Linked DNA regions of Nothobranchius furzeri. The protein of the gene in region 2 interacts with the protein of the main gene of each other region in a pairwise test. Links are inferred from orthologs where the notes say so. Each region holds a gene or a part of one and is shown on either strand. Other genes may lie near its edges.

Region 1 (6,144 bases), on a different chromosome or scaffold from region 2:
AAAGGTCCTTCCTAAAGAGGCTGATGTGTCCTAGAGGTGGTGATGTTCTCCACCTCCAGCTACATTCACTGACCCCACAGATGCACAGAGAAAACTTGGCTCTTTCCTAACAACATTCTCATCAGTAGATCATATTTCACCAAAAGCAGCATTAAAGCAACCCTAAAGAGCTTTTATCACTTGAAGCTATTGCTTTCAAAATGGTTTCAGTGGTTCTTGAGCCATAAACTTGACCAACTTCACATCGGACAGCACTATAAACCCTCTGCTGAGTAGAAACTGCACTTAAAGGGATACCAAGAAGTTTTGGCTTGCTTTTAGAATACCCTGCTGTTCGTTAGTAAAAGTGAAACTGATCTCCTCGTTGTGCGTTTGTCTTTTTAACACCCAACTGTGGAAATGTCTCCTTAGCCTTCATTAGTTTCTACAGGTGTAACTGTTAGCAGAGCTCAACATTCCCAGGTTTCATCATCAGGGTTGACGGAGAAAACAAATCAGACGGACACGTCAACATTCATTGATGGGGGGGGGGGGGGGGGGATTATTCCAGTCACGTCTTTTATGCAGTGCTGAAAGCAATCTCATTGGGTGTCACATCAGGTAAAACAAATAATCCATTGAGTAAGAAACTTTGACAAATGAGAACAAAAACGTAAACACGAATACATGAACTTATTTGGAGTGCAAATAAACAACTCAACAGCCACTCATCACTCAATCAAACAAATAAGCTGTGTTCAGGCATGTCAGCTCCACCTTACTAAAGTCCAGCAGGGACCAGACCGGCACTCTGAAGTTGCAAGTCCGGTATTCTGGCCAAATAGGGTGGTGGGGGTCTGAGAAGCATTTCATTAAGCCTGTAAAGGTTCATTTTAGCACATGCTGGCTCAAGAAAATGATTTGAAAAAGTTGCATAGTAGAACTTTAACAGTTTTGTGGCTCAGGTAGGAGCACTAGTGGGAGGTAGGGGTGGGCGATATGGAAAAATAATCATATCATAATTTTGTTTTTGCAAAATCACAATCACTATTTTATCTATTTTGACAATTCAGATGTTTTGGAAGTTATTTACCATTAAAATACATAAATTGAAATCATACCCCTTCACAGAAAAAAGGATAAAATATTTCTGAATCCTAAAAAAATATTTAATTATCTCTCCCTCTATCTATCTCTCCATCTCTCTCTTTATCTACACCTCTACCTACAGTTGAGAGCTAGAGACACATGTCTCAAATGTCCCACAGGCTCTTTCATGTAATTTTATATTTATAATTAATGTAAAATAATTTAAATTCTATCTAGGAGGCTCATATCCATCATCCACAATATTATCAGTAATTATTACTTGTCCACTAAAAAAAATCTATCATATTAAGCTAAACTAACCCTCATCTCATGCGTTCTCTAGTCACGATTACACTCCGCACTCAATATTTGTTGTTATATTCCTGATTGCGGGGAGGCAGGCATAAAAAAACGCTCCGGTCGGCCGCCACGGTGAAAAGGCTCGCTAAAACACACATAAACGTCTCAAAATAATAAAAGTCACAAAGCTAATTGCAAAGTTGAGAGCAGAGCATTGGCCCAGAGGTTCCCTGATTGAGCAGACTTGTCAGCAACATTTTATCCCAACAGTGTAGATCTTTTTACTTTGTGGCTTTTTAATATCAGTTGGCTCGTACTAGCGCTAGCTACAGCAGGCTGTGGCAGGGTTGTTTACGACAGTTGTATTTCTGCTTTCAACCAGTAGGAGGGAGAAGCGAGAAGCTTATGTTGCTTTAACTGTGCTCCATCAGCACTTTGTGCTGTTGTTTACATTAATACAAGAATCCCATCAAACTGTTTTATGTCACTTTGGTTTGTTTTAAGTCAGGGGTTATATGTTATGACACGTTATATTTACACAAGTAAGGAAGTTTCAATCGTCTATTAGAAGCAGATGTTAATGAATTGGGAACTTTGTGGAATATAGGGAAAGGCACAATAAGCAGCATAATTCTAAAAGAAAACATCCCTACCAGGGACGATGGCTGCAGAGGTGGTGGTGCTACTGGTCGATCAGACGCAGCAGCACATCTCTCTGGGGCCGAAGATGCTGCCGTTGCAGGCTGAACGGCGGCTTGGCCGGGATATTCACCAGCCATCCTTACATCCCGCTCTGCAGCGATTGACTCCCTGATGAGCCTCAGCTGTGCCACTGACGCAGACTGGGGGAAGACCAGGTGGGTCTCTGCCTGGAAGGGTTTAGAAAAATTACCAAGAAGAATAATGAAGCAAAGCATGCACAGTGTGAGTGACTGCTTTACCTATTAAAGCCACAAGGAAGCTCTTACCTCCTCAAATCCCATCTCAAAGAGACATTCTACAGCACCTCTGATGGGCAACAGCTTGGTGGAGAAAGTGGGGTTTCCTATACGGATGGATCTGTACTTTTCCTCATTAGGACTCCTGTTGGGCAAAGGAAAAACAATCAGCTTTTCAGAAATCATCTTTTATTCTGAACCCAGGGAGTTCTGTGGTAAGTGAGCCCTCAGGTCCACAAACCAGAACCTTCTAGAAGTACCAAAGACCAGATATAAACATCGAGGTGATCGCTCTTTCCAGGCTGTTGCACCCCGACTTTGGAATTAACTTCCTTTATCCTTACCTAGTATTGACAGTTCATACACTTATAAAATACAGCTGAAGATCCTTTTACATAAAGCTGCTTTCATCTAAATCGTTAATTTTCTTATTTTTAACTCGAATTTGTAATCATCTTTCATTTGTATTATGATTATAAAATTATATGACTTTGTTTTTCTGATTTTAATTTATTTCTGTTTTAAGATTATTGTGATTTTGTGCTTTTATGTTTTGATCTTTGTGAAGCACCTTGTGATTATCTGTCTGTGATAAGTGCTTTAAATAAATAAAATGTACTTAATTACTCTTCAGAAATGCCTGATTCAGTCAGACTACGTTGTTTATTCATGTATTTCGTCTCGCGATCAGAAGCAAGGTCTAAACGCAGACCTAAACTACTTCCTGGTACACCGAATCCACACAAACACTTTAAAGTTGAACCTTCAACATTGATACACAGTAAAATAATCGCCTTAATCCAAACAGCGTCCTGTTACACTTCCATTAGCTTCACTTTGTCGACAAAGCGTTAATTCGTTGTGTGTATAAGAGTATTTCAGTGAAACCTAACACGATTGTTTAATTTGCAGCTTTACCTTAAAATGTTGTCCGCGTACGTGAGCAGCAATTTAGAGACGTCCAGGAACACATCTCTTGGGTTCTTACACAACGTTGAGACCGCTGGTGAAGGATACATTTTAGAGTAATTAGAAAAACTGAAACGTTTTTCACTGAAACTCCTATAAATGCTAATGCTTAGCTGCCTGGGGTCCTGACAACACGTGTCCTAGCATCGCCTGACTAAATTTGTCGAAGCTTTTATAAATATTTAAGAAATATGCAGCTATAAATATACGTCATACAAGTACAAATTTATGCCGCGTTAAAAAAGTATAATGAAGTACTGATAATTGTTTTTTGGGGCCTGCTTTGGTTTATAAATTAAAGGTTACGCATCATGGCGTTAGCTGCTACTACCTAAGACTAGCTAAAAACAAATCCTCGGGTGTCATGATGGACTAGTTATTTCACGTATGTTTTTATAAGAATCTCTACCAATTTGAGTGTTTTTGCGTAAGGAAAGTTCGCCTTTTGCTTGTAAATCTTCCTTATGCTCTCAGTAAGCCATTTACTGAAGCTTCCGGTTTGCTGTCTTAGTTAAAATCGTAGAATGTCTTTTCTGTCTCTGTCCTATTGGGCCAAAATCCACCAGAGACCACACAGTTTAGGGACTCTGCTTCACAAATCCCTGTTTAGTCCGAACCAGGACTCTAGGCACCAGTTCAGTGGGCAGCAGTCTCAAAGGAGGGTTGTTATTACTGGACTAGGGTTGGTGTCCCCACTGGGGACAGGGACTGGCCTTCCCTGGGAGAACCTGATCAAAGGACAGACTGGGGTTGTTGCTCTGGACTCAGAAGAGTACAAGACTATCCCCTGTAAAGTGGCGGCTCTGGTTCCTAGGGGCACTGGTGAGGGGCAGTTTTGGGGAGAAAAGTTTGCCTCTCGAGGGGAAATCAATTCAATGTCACCAGCGACCCTCATGGCCCTTGGAGCTGCTCAACTGGCGCTGGAGGACTCAGGGTGGTACCCTGAAAGCCCAGAAGAGCAGCTGAACACGGGGGTAGCAGTAGGCATGGGTATGGTGTCACTGGATGAGATTGCCCGGACTTCTGCTGCCTTCACAGAAAAGGGCTACAACAAAGTTAGCCCCTTCTTTGTTCCTCGTATCCTGGTCAACATGGCTGCTGGGCACATAAGCATCAAACACAAATTGAAGGGTCCCAACCATGCTGTGTCCACAGCATGCACCACAGGCGCTCATGCCATCGGTGATGCAAGCAGGTTCATTGCCCATGGGGATGCAGTTGCTATGGTTACAGGGGGAACAGAATCCTGTGTAGGGCCGCTCTCAGTAGCTGGCTTTGCCAGAGCACGTGCACTCGCCACCAAATGGAATGACAGACCTGCGCTGGCGTCAAGACCCTTCCACCCAGAGAGAGATGGTTTTGTGATGGGAGAGGGAGCAGCTGTGCTCCTGCTGGAGGAGCTGGAGCATGCACTGACAAGAGGAGCCAGGATCTATGCTGAGGTTCTGGGCTATGGGCTCTCAGGGGATGCTAGCCACATCACCGCACCCACTGCAGATGGAGATGGAGCCTTCAGGTGAATTGCTTATAAAGGTTTTACTTGGTGTTTCATAGTCCTGGATAATCCATATTAAAAAGTGTGTTGTTCTTGTCAAGAATCAGATGCTTGATAAAGTAATGTTATTATAATAATAATTGAGTGTAAATAGTAACACAGTAGTAGCTCAGGAGGTAGAGCGAGTAGTCCAGTAGTGGAAGGGTTGCTGGTTGATCCCAGTTCCTTCCTGTTATTTCCTCAGGCAAGACACTTCATCTATGTTGGTGGTGGTCAGTGGGGCAGATGGTGCAACATGGACGCCTAGCCTTGAGCAGACTGCCCCAGGGCGGCTGTGGTTCTGTATAGTATACCATCACCAGCAGTGTGAGAATGAGTGTGAGTCAATAGTGGATTCTCTGTGAAGTGCTTTGAGTGTCCAGAAAAGCTCTATATAAATCTAATCTATTTTTTAATTATGTAATCTGCAAAGTATTTTATTAATCTGGACAAGGCATGTTTAACATTTACAAGTAAACATGCTAGATTATAGCCAGTGGCTAGTTTACTTCTGTAATCTCAGGGCTAGAGAGTGAATATAGGTGATGATAGAACATGGACAGGAATCTCAGTCGGATCAGGAAACTGCTCTGCAGGTTCAACTTGTACGGTGGGGTGTGGTCTTCTATTTCATGAAACAGTTTAATGGTGATGGTGCCAGCCTTTGAAGGGATATGTGGGCATGTAGAATCTTTGGGTTTGAATGTATTTTCAAAAGTGAGAATATAAATGAATGATGTAAATTATGCAGTATCTTTACTTCTTTCTTATCCAACCTTTGTTTGTGGCAAGCTGGTTACCCAGCACTTGATGTGGTAGTCACAATCTGCTTCTCAAACACACTGAAGGCTCATTTCACCTTCTCCTTTTGGCTTTTTGGTGGCAGAAAGAAGACAAAAGCATAGGACTCATATTAAAACAAATTTTACACTCTTCAAAGTGATAATTTGTAGTTTTTACCATTAATCTATGGAAATATCCATCAAAAATGTTGTAAATGAATTAAAAGATGCCTAGTTGTTGAAAAATATTGATAGTTTCATAACATATAACCAAAAGCATCTGTTCTAAAATACATGGAGTGGGTCTAAGTCTGTGGGCAACGCCATACTGGATGCCATGCTTCGTTCTATGGAAGCCCCCCTGAGAACAAAACATATTTACTGATTTTAACAAATTGTTACAAAACTTTCACCAATAATAAATGTTTTGTTTTACACTTTTACCTCTTCACTTGCTGCCAGTGATGAAAGGGAGTCTGATGTGCTTGTTATTTTAATGGAGGTTGCACTCCCAGGGATTTTTGACCCTAATGGCCATCCATTGGTAAGGTCT
Region 2 (5,968 bases):
AACTTATTTTGAGCCTGAGAGGGATAAACAGAAATGTAAACTTGCTCCAAATATATGATATAAACACAAATGAGATCCAACAATAAAGCTGTTTAAATAAACGAGTGGTTGTGAGTATGCTTTTGGATCCTGGAAGCTGAGGGTCCAGAACACAGATTGGCTTTAAGCACAGCTGGAAGGCCCAAGACATCTGGATGGAGGAGAAATATGGAGCTAGAATCAGGAAATACTACACGTAACTTGTACCAAGTTTTGTAACTTGTAAGATGTTTTGTAACTGTCACTTCCATTTTGCAGCTTGTAATTTGTGTTTTGTAACTCAACTTTGTACCATGTCATTCTTATAATGTAACATGTAACTTTCGGTACATACCATGAAACTTCCATTTTGTAACTTGCAGAAAAAAAATTTATGTACAAGTTTCAAATCACAACTCTCAAAATACACATCTAAGTCTACAGTTACAAAACTTAAATCTACATGGTACAAAAAACATTTTGTCCCAATTCTAGCTCCCTTTCCCAAAGAACCAGTGACAGGCGTTGTCTGACAAGCCAATCGTGAGTCGTGGATTCCTGTCCAATCATGGCAAGAAGGCAGAGGTCTGTTGTACAGCTCACAACCCAACCTGTTCACATTCTCACTCTTTACCAGTTGGTGGCGGTAATTATTAGGAAAACTAAACTGATGAAAATGAAGAACTTACATTTTGAATTAGAGCATGATTTCATATCCAAGAAATGTGATTGGCTGATAAGACAAAGCCTGTCATTGGTCCTTTGGGAAGGAAGGTAGAATTGGCACAAAATGTTTTGTAAGTAAGTAAGTAAAGTTTATTTATAGCGTCTTTCACAGATATAAATCACAAAGTGCTGCACAACATGAGTAAAATCAGGGCAAATACCTCAAACTAATAAAAACATCATAAATATCATCATTGTACACATAGACTTGAGTTTTGTAACTGTAGACTGAGATGTGTGTTTGGAGAGTTGTGATTTGAAACTTGTACGTAGATTTTTTTTACAAAACGAAAGTTTCACATTACGTACCAAAAGTTACGTTACAAAACAGGAAGTACATGCTACAAAACGAAAGTTGCAGTCATGCAGTTACAAAGCATGTTACAAGTTACATGAAATATTGTCACAATCCTAGCTCTATAGATGAAATGAGTCAAGTGATTCATTTGACCTCAGATAAATGAAATTTGCCTGACCCCCTGTTGGCTCTGCAGTAATATTCCTATGATAAAATAAATCACGTTTTATTCTTTTGGTGTGTATGGAAATAGGCAAAAGCTGTGAGTAAATTAAATGTTGGACTTGCACAAAGCTGAGGTTGCTGAGGTGGTTCAGACATCAGGATGCCTCCCTCTAGAGTTCAAAGGCCTTTGAATATCTCCCTCTGGAGGTTTTCCAGACACATCCCACAGGGAGAAGGGAGTCTACATCCTCTCTGGCCATTTAAATGCCAGTAACTTCATCTCTATGGTTACTCTCAAAGCTTGCACCTCTTTTGGTTGCTCCTCATTCCAGTTTGCTGCTTCCAACGACTGGAATGAGCTGCAAAAATCACTAAAGCTCACTGCCTACATTCCATTATCTACCTTCAATTATTCATTGCAGTCAATAGTTTCTGATCACTTAAAGATTGTTTAAAGTCTGTTTTGATATATGAAAACAGTCCTTTGTCTTTATGTCTAACTGTTTCATCTCATTTTTATATTGTATGTTTTCATCTTAACTGTTTTTCTTTGGTGTAAGGCTAATTATGTGTCTGTTGCTGCTGCCTCTTTACCAGTTCGTCATTGTTAATGAGAATGAGTTCTCAATCGACTTGTCTGGTTGAATAAATGTTAACCGCTCTGGAGGCAGGCGTTGCAGATTTGCAACAGTTAAAACCTACCTACCTGGTTACTTCACACACGTATTTCATGAGCATTTTAACTCAGAAGTACCCCTGAAGGACTGAGTTGTTTGTTCTTTTACCAAAACTTATTTTGAGCCTGAGAGGGTTAAATAAAATGCGTTAAATAAACAAATAAATAAATAAATGTGACCAGGGAATATCTCCCCAGGAGGAGCTGGAGAGCGTCACTGAGAGGTATGTCTGACCTGAGGTTGGGTCAGAGGGAAACATTAGTGGATGGATGAATGAATAAACGGATAACTGGTTTAGAAATGTAGCAGTACGAAATACCTGCTACAGAAACATGAACATAAACTTTTAGTATCCCTCCGGGATCATTCATTTTTAGCTGAATTGTGTTTGCGCTGTCTCGTTTTTCAGAGATCAGGAAGCAGTACCTTAAATAACTTCTTGGCTTGCCAAACTTGTGCGACTGTCTGCAGGTTGATTCTCCTCCTCGCCGCCAGGGGGCAGCGTCACTTTACCGGAACACAGAAGACCACCAACCTTTCCCGTATCCTGGCGAATAGCCATGCGAATAACTGAGAAGTGCGGTGGAAGATAAAAACAACAGCACAGCACGGGTTAAAATCTTGTATTTCTTTCTAAAGTTGCCTTTGCTGATGTCCTTGTGGTTCGTGTGACTTCCGGTTGGAGGAGCTGGCTGAGCAGAGCTGCTAACAGTGTTTCGTTAGACACCAGGACCAAGTTAGGCTTGTGATTTCTGGTAACTTGTGAGGCTCGATGAGGAAACCCAGCCCTCCTTCAGAGTGGTAAACAAGACCTCAGGCTCCCGCCGAGTTAGACAGCTGGTTGTTACGTAAAGAAGGTAGCAGGATGACAGGTAAGCGCGTGCTGCGTGCTGTTGTCAGGTGTTTAAAATGAAACGGTAACGTGTTGTTTCCTCAGAGGATGCCGTCCTGCTGAGTGTTCCCATCATCCGGCAGCTGTACCACTGGGACTGCGGCTTAGCCTGCTCCAGGATGGTCCTCAAGTAAGCGAACATTAATGAGACCCCGGGCTCCTGTTGTTACAGCCATTAGAGTTCAACCCAAAGTGTTGGTGGTGTTCTGCAGGTATCTGCACCCCGTGAGTGATGAGGACTTCCAGACAGCATGCTGGGAGCTGAAGCTGACTGAGAGCGTGTGGACTATAGACCTGGCCTACCTCATGTGTCATCTAGGAGTCAAACACTGCTTCTGCACACAGACCCTGGGTGTCGACAAGGGCTTTAAAAACCAGGTATGAGGAGGAATCTTTGCTTTCATCTACAGTGATGCTTATAAGTATCCACCCACTTACAGATCTCTTCAGTTGTTGTGTCTCTTAGACGTCTCAGACGACGATAACCTGAGTAAATACAGTTTTAAATGGTGAGGGAAAAAACCCTGGTTAACTACGATAGCTGGTGATCTGAGTTGAGCTCCACCAGCCGCGCCGTGATCCTGATCACTACCAGACCTGTAGAAAGAATCGCTTCAACGGAACCTGTCTGACAGCACGGCGTGTCCCACTGCATTGCACTGTATCAAAAAAGGTCAAGATGGCAGCAGTCAGACACGGTGGTGGTAGTGTGATGGTCTGGGGCTGCTTCAGCACCACCTGCAGTAACTGATGGAACCATTAATTCTGCTCTTTAGCGGAACATCCTGAAGGAGAACATCTGACCTTTGAACTTAAGGGTTGGAAAATCCTTCAATGTGACTCAAATAAAACGACTCCGTAAAGCAGGGTGGGACAAAACTCCTCACTGATGTCTCCAGTAGCCCTAGTGATGGGATTTATGGCTCTTTCATGGGAGCCGTTCATTAGTTGGTCGTTTACCTCAAAGAGCCGTTCAAAACACTGGCTCCTTTGACCGAATTGTTTACAGCCAGATCTTGAGGAGTTTTTTGATGAAAATGTGAACTCGTCGCTGTAATAAACATCCCTTCCTTTTTAGCAACAAACCAGGTTCAGTTTCTTTCATAAAAGAACCTGAAAAACATCAAATGTGAACTTGTAATAATTCTTGTAGCATTTTATCACACTGTAGAGTGACTTTATATCTGCTGGCTCTACTGGGGTTATCTTATTACTTCGTTATTAGGCTATCCTGCTTTAATAGGTTAAGGCTGTTTGCAAGTTAGAGCACATCTCTCATCATCAGATTAAATGTGCATCAATTAATCAAAAATTAAGTTAAAGCTGATGATGATTTAGACCTATTTTTCACCAGTTTTCATTATTCTAGAGAAGAAACCGACCTGATGCACACAGCTGGGCAGAATGGGGCAGTTTTATTAAATGTCATACCCAGGTAAGGCACATGTGTTTATCCTGTGTACTCTTAATGCTTCAGAGCCAAGAGAAATAAGGTAAGTCAAACAGTTTGAAAAATGCAACAAGATTTAAAATTCACATTTTACGTTTTTCAGGTTTTTTTATGAAACATAAAACCTAAAATATTGTGCAAACCAGGACAGAATGTTTATTATAGCGCTAAATTAACTTTTTCTTTACCAAACTCCCCAAAACAGCTTCCTGCTGGTGGCAGAAGGACACAGTCAGCACTTAGCACGGACAGCCAGTTTGCTGTTAAATGAAATAGCCAATCGTAGTAGAGCCTTTCTAGCCAATCAGAGACGAGAAAGGTGGGATCTTCCATTTTTGGTTCTTTTTAACTAACAAAACAAGGTTTCTCTTTACCTTGCCGACAGGAACACAACTGTCAGCAAGGTAAAGAGAAGCCTTTCCTGTGTTTTAAAATGAACCAAAAACAGAATTTGAAGCCAAACACAGAAAGAACGTACCAAAGAAGGTGGGATCTTCCTTGAACATCCTAGAATTCCAAATAACGCCTCCTCCCGGGGAGGTTAGTTACTGGAAGACAAGATGAACGGCTCCCTACAGGGACTCGGCTCTCATCGTTCACTTTGAAAACCCGTTCAAAAGATTCAGTTCGTTCCTGAACGTCACATCACTAAGTAGCACCCATGGGTGAAATACACAAAACCTGGTGGTTCTGATAGATTTTAGTTTGTCTGGTGATGACATGTTTAATCTGAAACAATTAAGTGACAACAAAGCAAAGCTGAAGAAATCTGAGAGGGGACAAATGTTTTGTTGTGTACACAAGTAGTGATGATCACTTTTGTTTTCCAGTCCTTTTATAAGAAGCATTTTGACACAGAAGAAGACCGAGTGAACAAGCTCTTCTGTAAGGCAGAAACCACAGGTGTGGTGGTGAAGAAATGGTGAGTCTGGGGTGGAGAGTGATCCACTTGTTGGCTCTTGTTGTTCTGGGATCAGGACGGATTTTGTTCTTCTTCTTCTTCAGCTCGGTGACAATTCAGGAAATCCAGTCCCATCTGGAGCAGGGCCATGTGGCCGTGGTGCTGGTGAACGCCGTGGTCCTGACCTGTGAGCTGTGCTCCTCACCTGTCAAATACTGCTGCTTCCTCCCTGTGGGACAGAAGTGCTTCTGCAGGAAACCTGAGTACCAGGGTCACTTTGTGGTTGTGTGCGGCTTCAACAGAACCACCGGCTGCGTCTTCTACAACAACCCTGCCTATTCTGACCGTGAGTCCATCCTGTTGGTCCAAAACACCGAAACCCTGCTGCTCTCATTTTCTATTTAGTAAAGCAAAAAAAAAAAGCTTTTGAATGCTCTGCCAACGGTGTGATGGAATCCTGGCATGTATTAATGCACAGGTATGGAAGTTATGTTGATTTTTGCACAGGAAGTTTAATGTTTTATAGGCTTTTCTCCTCATTTCATCAGAGACGATCAACCAACTTTAGTTATCTGAGATTTCAAAAAAGCATCAGCGGATCTTCACACTCATGAATCTACTGAGGTCACTTAAGTCCTAAATAAACAGGATTCAAAGCAGGTTTAACACCAGAGCTGCTCTTATAAGGGCCACAGCTGGAACATCTGGGTACCGCCTGTGCAGCTGGGTCCAACTCATAATTAGACAAGTAGTTATTTAATGTTTAATAAGTGTGTGTGTGTTCTCCAGGAGTGTGCTGCACCAGCATCAGTAACTTTGAAGAGGCCAGGCGGAGCTATGG
Region 3 (6,240 bases), on a different chromosome or scaffold from region 2:
ACTGCACCGGACCCTTCATGTTCCTCCTGCGGGTGGTGGGTCCACAGTTGAATGAGCCCATGTATCCGGTTCGGGCTGGGCCTGGCCGGGCCCCATGGGCGAAAGCCCGGGAACCAGGCGCTTGCTCACGGGCCCCAACCCCAGGCCTGGCTCCAGGGTGGGACCCCGGTAACCCTCCGGGCCGGGTACTCTTACTCTTTGATTGTACATCCATGAAAGATCCTCTGAACCGTACTTTATCTCACCCTTCACCTAAGACCAATTTGTCATGGGAGACCCTACCAGGGGCACAATGTGCCCCAGACAACAGAGCTCCTAGATCATTAGGGCACTCAAACTCCTCCACCACGATAAGGTGACAGTTCAAGGAGGAGGTAAAAATGTTGTGTGCCAAAAAATATTGATTGATCATATTTGAGTGCATGCATCAGTGGTATTTCGGGGATCATTTGTTTTGTCTTGAACTGAGGGCTCTCTTAATTTTAACAGCACCCCCTAAATCCTAAAAAGCATTATGCGCCTGTAAAATGCATTCCTAAATTGAAATACTGTAGATGCCGCTCTGTTCTTGAAGCATTTGAAGAACACACAAACATGGTCTCTCTTAACAGGCAACTCTCTGAAATTTCCCCCTCAGCAGTCAGTTTTATTGTAAATGGCATGTTATTGAAGTTGGAACACATTGAAATAAATCCCTTTTCTCTCTATCAGTGATTTTAAAAATGTTTCTTTATGTAGCTGCACATGGTGGGATGGGGTTGACTGCCCACTCCAGTCACGTTCCAGTCACCTGACTCTGTGTTGGGTTGTGTTTGCACCTGACTGTTCAACTCTGATCAATACACTTAAATTAGCCACCCGTTTCTCTAATCATTGCTTCTCTATATTATTATTTAGTTGTGCTCATTTCAATTTTTTTGCATATCTATTATTTTTTTGAAGCACACATATGTGGGCCCCATATGGAGCACGTATGGGCAAGCCCAATGGGTCCCACCAGGGTTTGTCCGCAGTTTCCACAGTGGCCCCACAGGGGTTTGCCCACAAACATTCTAAACCCTCTGAATACCCATGTCGGGCCCATTAAAATCTATGTAAGTAAGTAAGTAAGTAAAAGCTTATTTATAAAGCGCCTTTCGCAGATATGAATCACAAAGTGTACAACATGAGTAAAATCAGGTCAAATACCTCAAACTGATAAAAACAGATCATAAAAAACAATAGCAGTGACAAAATAGTAAACAAAATCAGGAGTAAAAACAAAGTCAAGGTATGAGCAAAGACAAAGCCATCTTTCAGAATATTTAGCAGGGGAATGCCTGGATGAAAAGGTGAGTTTTTAAATGTTTTATGTGGGCAAAGATCTCTCTAGACCAGGGGTTCCCAAATTGGGGGCCGGGGGTCCCCACAATTTTGTCTTTGCTGAGAGTGAGATTAGCAAGAATTTATTTGTAAAAATTACATAAACTCCCAATAACACACCCTACAGTACAACCAGAACTCCATATATAATTTATATTTCTGTGTGCCTGTATAAAGATGACAAATTATCACATTTAATGTGTGTACTCATGTAGGAGTTGGGGTTGGGGGTCCTGGCTTGTCTTGGACATGAGCAAAGGGGTCCTCAAAATAAATAAATAAATAAATAAATAAATAAATAAATAAATAAATAAATAAATAAAGAAAGAAAGAAAGAAAGAAAGAAAGAAAGAAAGAAAGAAAGAAAGAAAGAAAGAAAGAAAGAAATTGGGAACCCCTGCTCTAGACAAACCCAGGTGGGACCTATGGCTTGCCCATATAGGTTCCATTTGGGCCCATTTATGTGTGCAGACAGGTTACTGCAGCAAGTTCCTAACGTTGTGACTTCTTACAAATATGACAATGAACCCTTCTGGTACTGATGGAGGGATGGGGTTATAGACAATCAAATGAATAAAGTTTTTCAGTTGGAATTTGATAACAGTGGGACTAAAACTGGTTATTGTGGACAATGCCTTTGTGTGGTTATGTCCTGGCCTTTTTTAAATTGGAAACTCCAAATGAACATTTTAAGAAATGTCTATGCGATTCAGAATGAACTGACAATAATACAACAATATTTATTAGCTTTGCATTTTCTAACTTTGATCATGAACAACCAACTCGGTAAACTGCCGAGTGTTTGTTCAGTTTGTTCAACATATACAAAAAATTTAATCTTCTGAAAGTAACATTTTGTAAAAAATTCATCATCATTTAGTAGGCTAATAACAACATAATGCTATCAAATACACCAGTTTGTAATTTCACTCAACAATTATGAAAAGAAGACGTTGTAAAAAATTATTTTTTACTGATAAATATTTGAAATGATGAAGCAGAAATTTTCTTACATTTGCGATTTAATTCAAATGGAAGTACAAGAAAAAGCACAGTAGTCTTGAAAAATTACCCAAGCTCTCCTGCTCGCGTATTAGTTGTAGTTCTTCCTCCCCCTGCCTTTTAAGAATGGGACTACAACCTGACTTCACTTTTTCAACAATGCATACAATTTATTTTAAGTCACAGCAGCTGCTGAGACTAAGACATACCTAATATTAAAAATCTTTCCCAACTTGTTTTTGTTTTTATTTGTTTATTTATTGTTTTACTTTGTAGATTTTTTTAAAACGTAATCCGCATTTAAAATATAATTTTCTTGGTAAATTAAGTAATGTGAACACAGCGAACCCATTATTTAATGTCAGGAGACATTATTAGATGAACACCTCTCTGACTCAAACAAGAACAATAGTTGCATCAGAGCGGCAGCATGAATTTGGAAATAACGTGGGCCGGACGCCCCCTCTACAACAGCCAATCAGCGTGCTGGTTGCTCCGCGCTGCGTGCTGATTGGCTCAGGAGCACGAGCTTTCCGCTCGGCCCTATTAAATGTATTTCCCTTTACCGGTAGCGGTAATGCAGACTCACCCTGGGAACACTGTGGTTCAGCTACTTTGGAGGCGCGCGCTGCGATGGAGCAAACGAACAAACAAGATGAGCCGACCGGTGTCTTCACAGGCTTCCGCACCGCTTTCAAATCTTTCGCTACAGATGCTATACACGTCGGTCAGGAGCCGGAACAGTGGAGCTCAATGGCCGTAGTACCGCTGATATCCCTCTCTACTACCTTCAAGCAGCACTCACCGGGAAACCATGCCGTAAGTAGCCTGATCGGTGTCGGTTATTTATGGCTGGGGGTGACAAGACGTGCCTGTTAAATACATCCTATCAAATAAGCTGTAATGTTACCTCATCCAAAACGTTATCATCATTCAGGTTTTTTTTAAATATTTTAAACATATCCTCCGGTCCCCCTAAAAAGATGCAAATCAGACCAGTGAGCTGTTTGATTATACTTCCTGTTTTTACAAGGGAATTCACCCTATTACCAAAACTATAACACCAGTACTATTAGAAAGTTTTCTGTTTCTTTTCACTTCAATTCATCTCAGTGATGAAGTCAAGATTGCTGGATTTCCTCCAGTTTTTCTTCAGCAAATGTAAGACTGAGGCCGCCTACAGATTCAGCCCACAGCTGTAATTCTGCCAAATTAGAATTTTTTTTATCATCTTTCAAACATCGTTGATTTTTTTAAATTCATTTCCTATGGTTACAGTCTCTTTTCACTGAACTGGTAAATTATTTGTCCAAGTCAAACAAGGCCCTATAGCTGGAGATGTGTAGATTTTCTTATTTTACAGATAAGCCAGTATTCCAGGTGGCTTTTCTCACTCGCTTATCTAAACTCCACACAAAACCAGTAGACGATACAAGATTATATTTCACCCTAAATATCTTTTGCAATTCTTTAAACTACAAATCATGTGTTCCTATCATTATCTTCAGGCAATAACTTACTTCGTACATCAACCAGCTCAGTGGTAGTGTCTGCTCTGGGACTGGGAGAACTGGGTTCAAAACCGGTCGGGTCACACCCAATGCCTCCCTGCTTGACACTCAGCTTTAAGGAGTTGGATTGGGGGTTAATCCACCAAATAGTTCCCGAGCGCAGCCACAGCTACAGCTCACCGTTCCCCACAGAGATGGGTCAAATGTGGAGATGAATTTCCCCAGTGAGTGATTACTATGGGAGTTTAACATTATTGGAGAGGTGAACATAGGTTATTTTCAACAGTATTCTTCTAAAATGTGATGTTTAGCATTCATAGCAATTCATTTGTTTCTTTTGTATTCAGAAAACCCAAATAGAAATTCACTTTGATGAAGAAAATATTTATTAAAATGTTGCATTTCTTCAGGGCTTTGAGTACAGCCGGAGTGGAAACCCCACCAGAAACTGTCTGGAGAAGGCTGTGGCAGCGCTGGACGGAGCAAAGTATTGTAAGTAAACAATATGATTCAGCATTTGAACACAAATAGGTTTTCTTCTCACTGATGACACAAACCACGTTCTTTCATTTTAACAAGTTTTTTGTTGAAAATCCCTGCAGCTCTTGCTTTCGCCTCAGGACTGGCCGCCACAGTGACCATCACTCACATGCTGAAAGGGGGCGATGGGATCGTCTGCATGGATGATGTGTACGGAGGTGAGTCTCCCTGCTCCCACATCTGTTTTAATACTTGCACTTTCTGTTTAACTGAGCCTCACGCCCCCTTTTTAAAGGCACAAATCGCTACTTTAAAAGAATTGCAGCTGAAATCGGTCTGGACGTGACTTTTGCTGACTTCACTAAACTGGAGCTGCTCAAGTCCGCTCTGAAGCCCAACACCAAAGTAGGTCAAGGAAAGATAAGAATATGAAATAAATCGGTGTTGGTTGTTTGCTTTGTGTTACTCATTCTCTGCTTTTGTTAAACGCTCTTTCATTGGTTGTCTTTTCTGCTAAGTCAGAGTAGTCTTTGTGTGAGTCATCGCTTTGTGTAACGATCTGTTTTTACCAGCTTGTCAAACGATTGACTCCTGTTGTGACAGGACTTCTTCTTCTGTCTCATGTGTAGCTGGTGTGGATGGAGTGTCCAACCAACCCTATGATGAAGGTTGTGGACATCAGGGCCTGTTCTGAGTTGGTGCACGAGCACAACAAAGACATAGTAGTGGTGGTAGACAACACATTCATGTCTGCGTATTTCCAGGTGGGACTGTCACTCTGTTGACTCTGAAGCTACAGTTTAATCGTTTCCTTTAATGAAAATCCGGTTCACTTGAGAGGAACTTGCTGAATGATTAACTTATGTGTTTGTCTTGCACTGTCAGCGCCCCTTGGCCTTAGGTGCAGACGTCTGCATGTATTCAGCCACCAAATACATGAACGGTAGGTTTTACACACACACACTGTTTTTCACACAGACTTGATACAAACATGGGTTGAATTAAAAGTAAAAAAAAGGTTGCTCAACTTATAATACCAATAAAATCTCTAAAATTACAACCAATAATGTGTAACCCCAGACATTAGGAGCATTTGTTTTAGTTTTTAACTGGCAAAGGAAATTAAAAAGTACATAAAAGTCAAATGATCTTGCCAAACTAGCAACCCAGATCTAATACATGTAGTAAAGGGCACACATTTATAAACCTGTGATATTCTTTTGTTTTTCTTTTAAAAAAAACAGACTTGAACTTTTATCAATGGAGTATCCATTTTTGATTAATTAATAAAACAAGTTTTGTCAAAAGGCAGAAAATACTAATATATACAAATGCAACTTTGTTTTTTTTTCATTGGAAGAATGTTAGATCAGTTCTTGTTTAGGGTCATCTATAGAAGCTATTAAAGGATGTGAAACTTAAATAAAAATAGATTTTGTTATTACTGATAACTTTCTGCTCAAATGTCTATTTTTCATTTGTTTCACTTGAGTCTTTGCACCGTTCCACCAAAGCAAATTCCTAGTAATGTGAGACTCTCACTTGGCAATAAAACACGATTCTGATTCTGATAACAGCAGTGCACTCTGATTACAACATATTTATTTATTTTGACTGACTGGCCAACGTGTGAAAAACATATTTGAAACGTTAGGTTAGACACTGCTAAAGCACACGATTCTGGTTATTTTAACTCCCAAAGGAACAGGATTTTATTCAAAAACGAGTTTGTGCTGTTCCTGAATTGCTTTTTCATTTTGGCAGGTCACAGTGACGTGGTGATGGGTCTGGTTTCAATAAACCGAGAGGATCTGCACGAGCGACTAAAGTTCCTGCAGAATGGTGAGTAATTCCAGAGTAATCCTGTTTTTGGTGAAGTGGTGGG

The links.
Region 1: the proteins of gucd1 (region 2) and ngly1 interact in binary tests that used the Homo sapiens proteins (3 or more experiments, as listed by UniProt). The two-hybrid records come from large-scale screens. The link is inferred for Nothobranchius furzeri from reciprocal best matches to the Homo sapiens genes GUCD1 and NGLY1.
Region 3: the proteins of gucd1 (region 2) and cystathionine gamma-lyase interact in binary tests that used the Homo sapiens proteins (3 or more experiments, as listed by UniProt). The two-hybrid records come from large-scale screens. The link is inferred for Nothobranchius furzeri from reciprocal best matches to the Homo sapiens genes GUCD1 and CTH.

Annotation. Positions count from the first base shown.
Region 1 is NC_091751.1:24,885,138-24,891,281, reverse strand, and holds the start of ngly1 (peptide-N(4)-(N-acetyl-beta-glucosaminyl)asparagine amidase), read right to left. Parts: upstream 3,425-6,144; 5' UTR 3,326-3,424; coding exon 3,225-3,325; intron 2,452-3,224; coding exon 2,337-2,451; intron 2,238-2,336; coding exon 2,022-2,237; intron 1-2,021. Other genes in the region: oxsm (3-oxoacyl-[acyl-carrier-protein] synthase, mitochondrial), read left to right, coding at 3,800-4,791. UniProt on the Homo sapiens protein: Specifically deglycosylates the denatured form of N-linked glycoproteins in the cytoplasm and assists their proteasome-mediated degradation. Cleaves the beta-aspartyl-glucosamine (GlcNAc) of the glycan and the amide side chain of Asn, converting Asn to Asp.
Region 2 is NC_091757.1:28,692,161-28,698,128, reverse strand, and holds the start of gucd1 (protein GUCD1), read left to right. Parts: upstream 1-2,390; 5' UTR 2,391-2,749; coding exon 2,750-2,756; intron 2,757-2,821; coding exon 2,822-2,906; intron 2,907-2,988; coding exon 2,989-3,154; intron 3,155-5,056; coding exon 5,057-5,148; intron 5,149-5,231; coding exon 5,232-5,473; intron 5,474-5,916; coding exon 5,917-5,968.
Region 3 is NC_091748.1:59,532,287-59,538,526, forward strand, and holds the start of cystathionine gamma-lyase, read left to right. Parts: upstream 1-2,727; 5' UTR 2,728-2,742; coding exon 2,743-3,183; intron 3,184-4,285; coding exon 4,286-4,367; intron 4,368-4,477; coding exon 4,478-4,573; intron 4,574-4,650; coding exon 4,651-4,760; intron 4,761-4,984; coding exon 4,985-5,119; intron 5,120-5,240; coding exon 5,241-5,298; intron 5,299-6,119; coding exon 6,120-6,197; intron 6,198-6,240. UniProt on the Homo sapiens protein: Catalyzes the last step in the trans-sulfuration pathway from L-methionine to L-cysteine in a pyridoxal-5'-phosphate (PLP)-dependent manner, which consists on cleaving the L,L-cystathionine molecule into L-cysteine, ammonia and 2-oxobutanoate.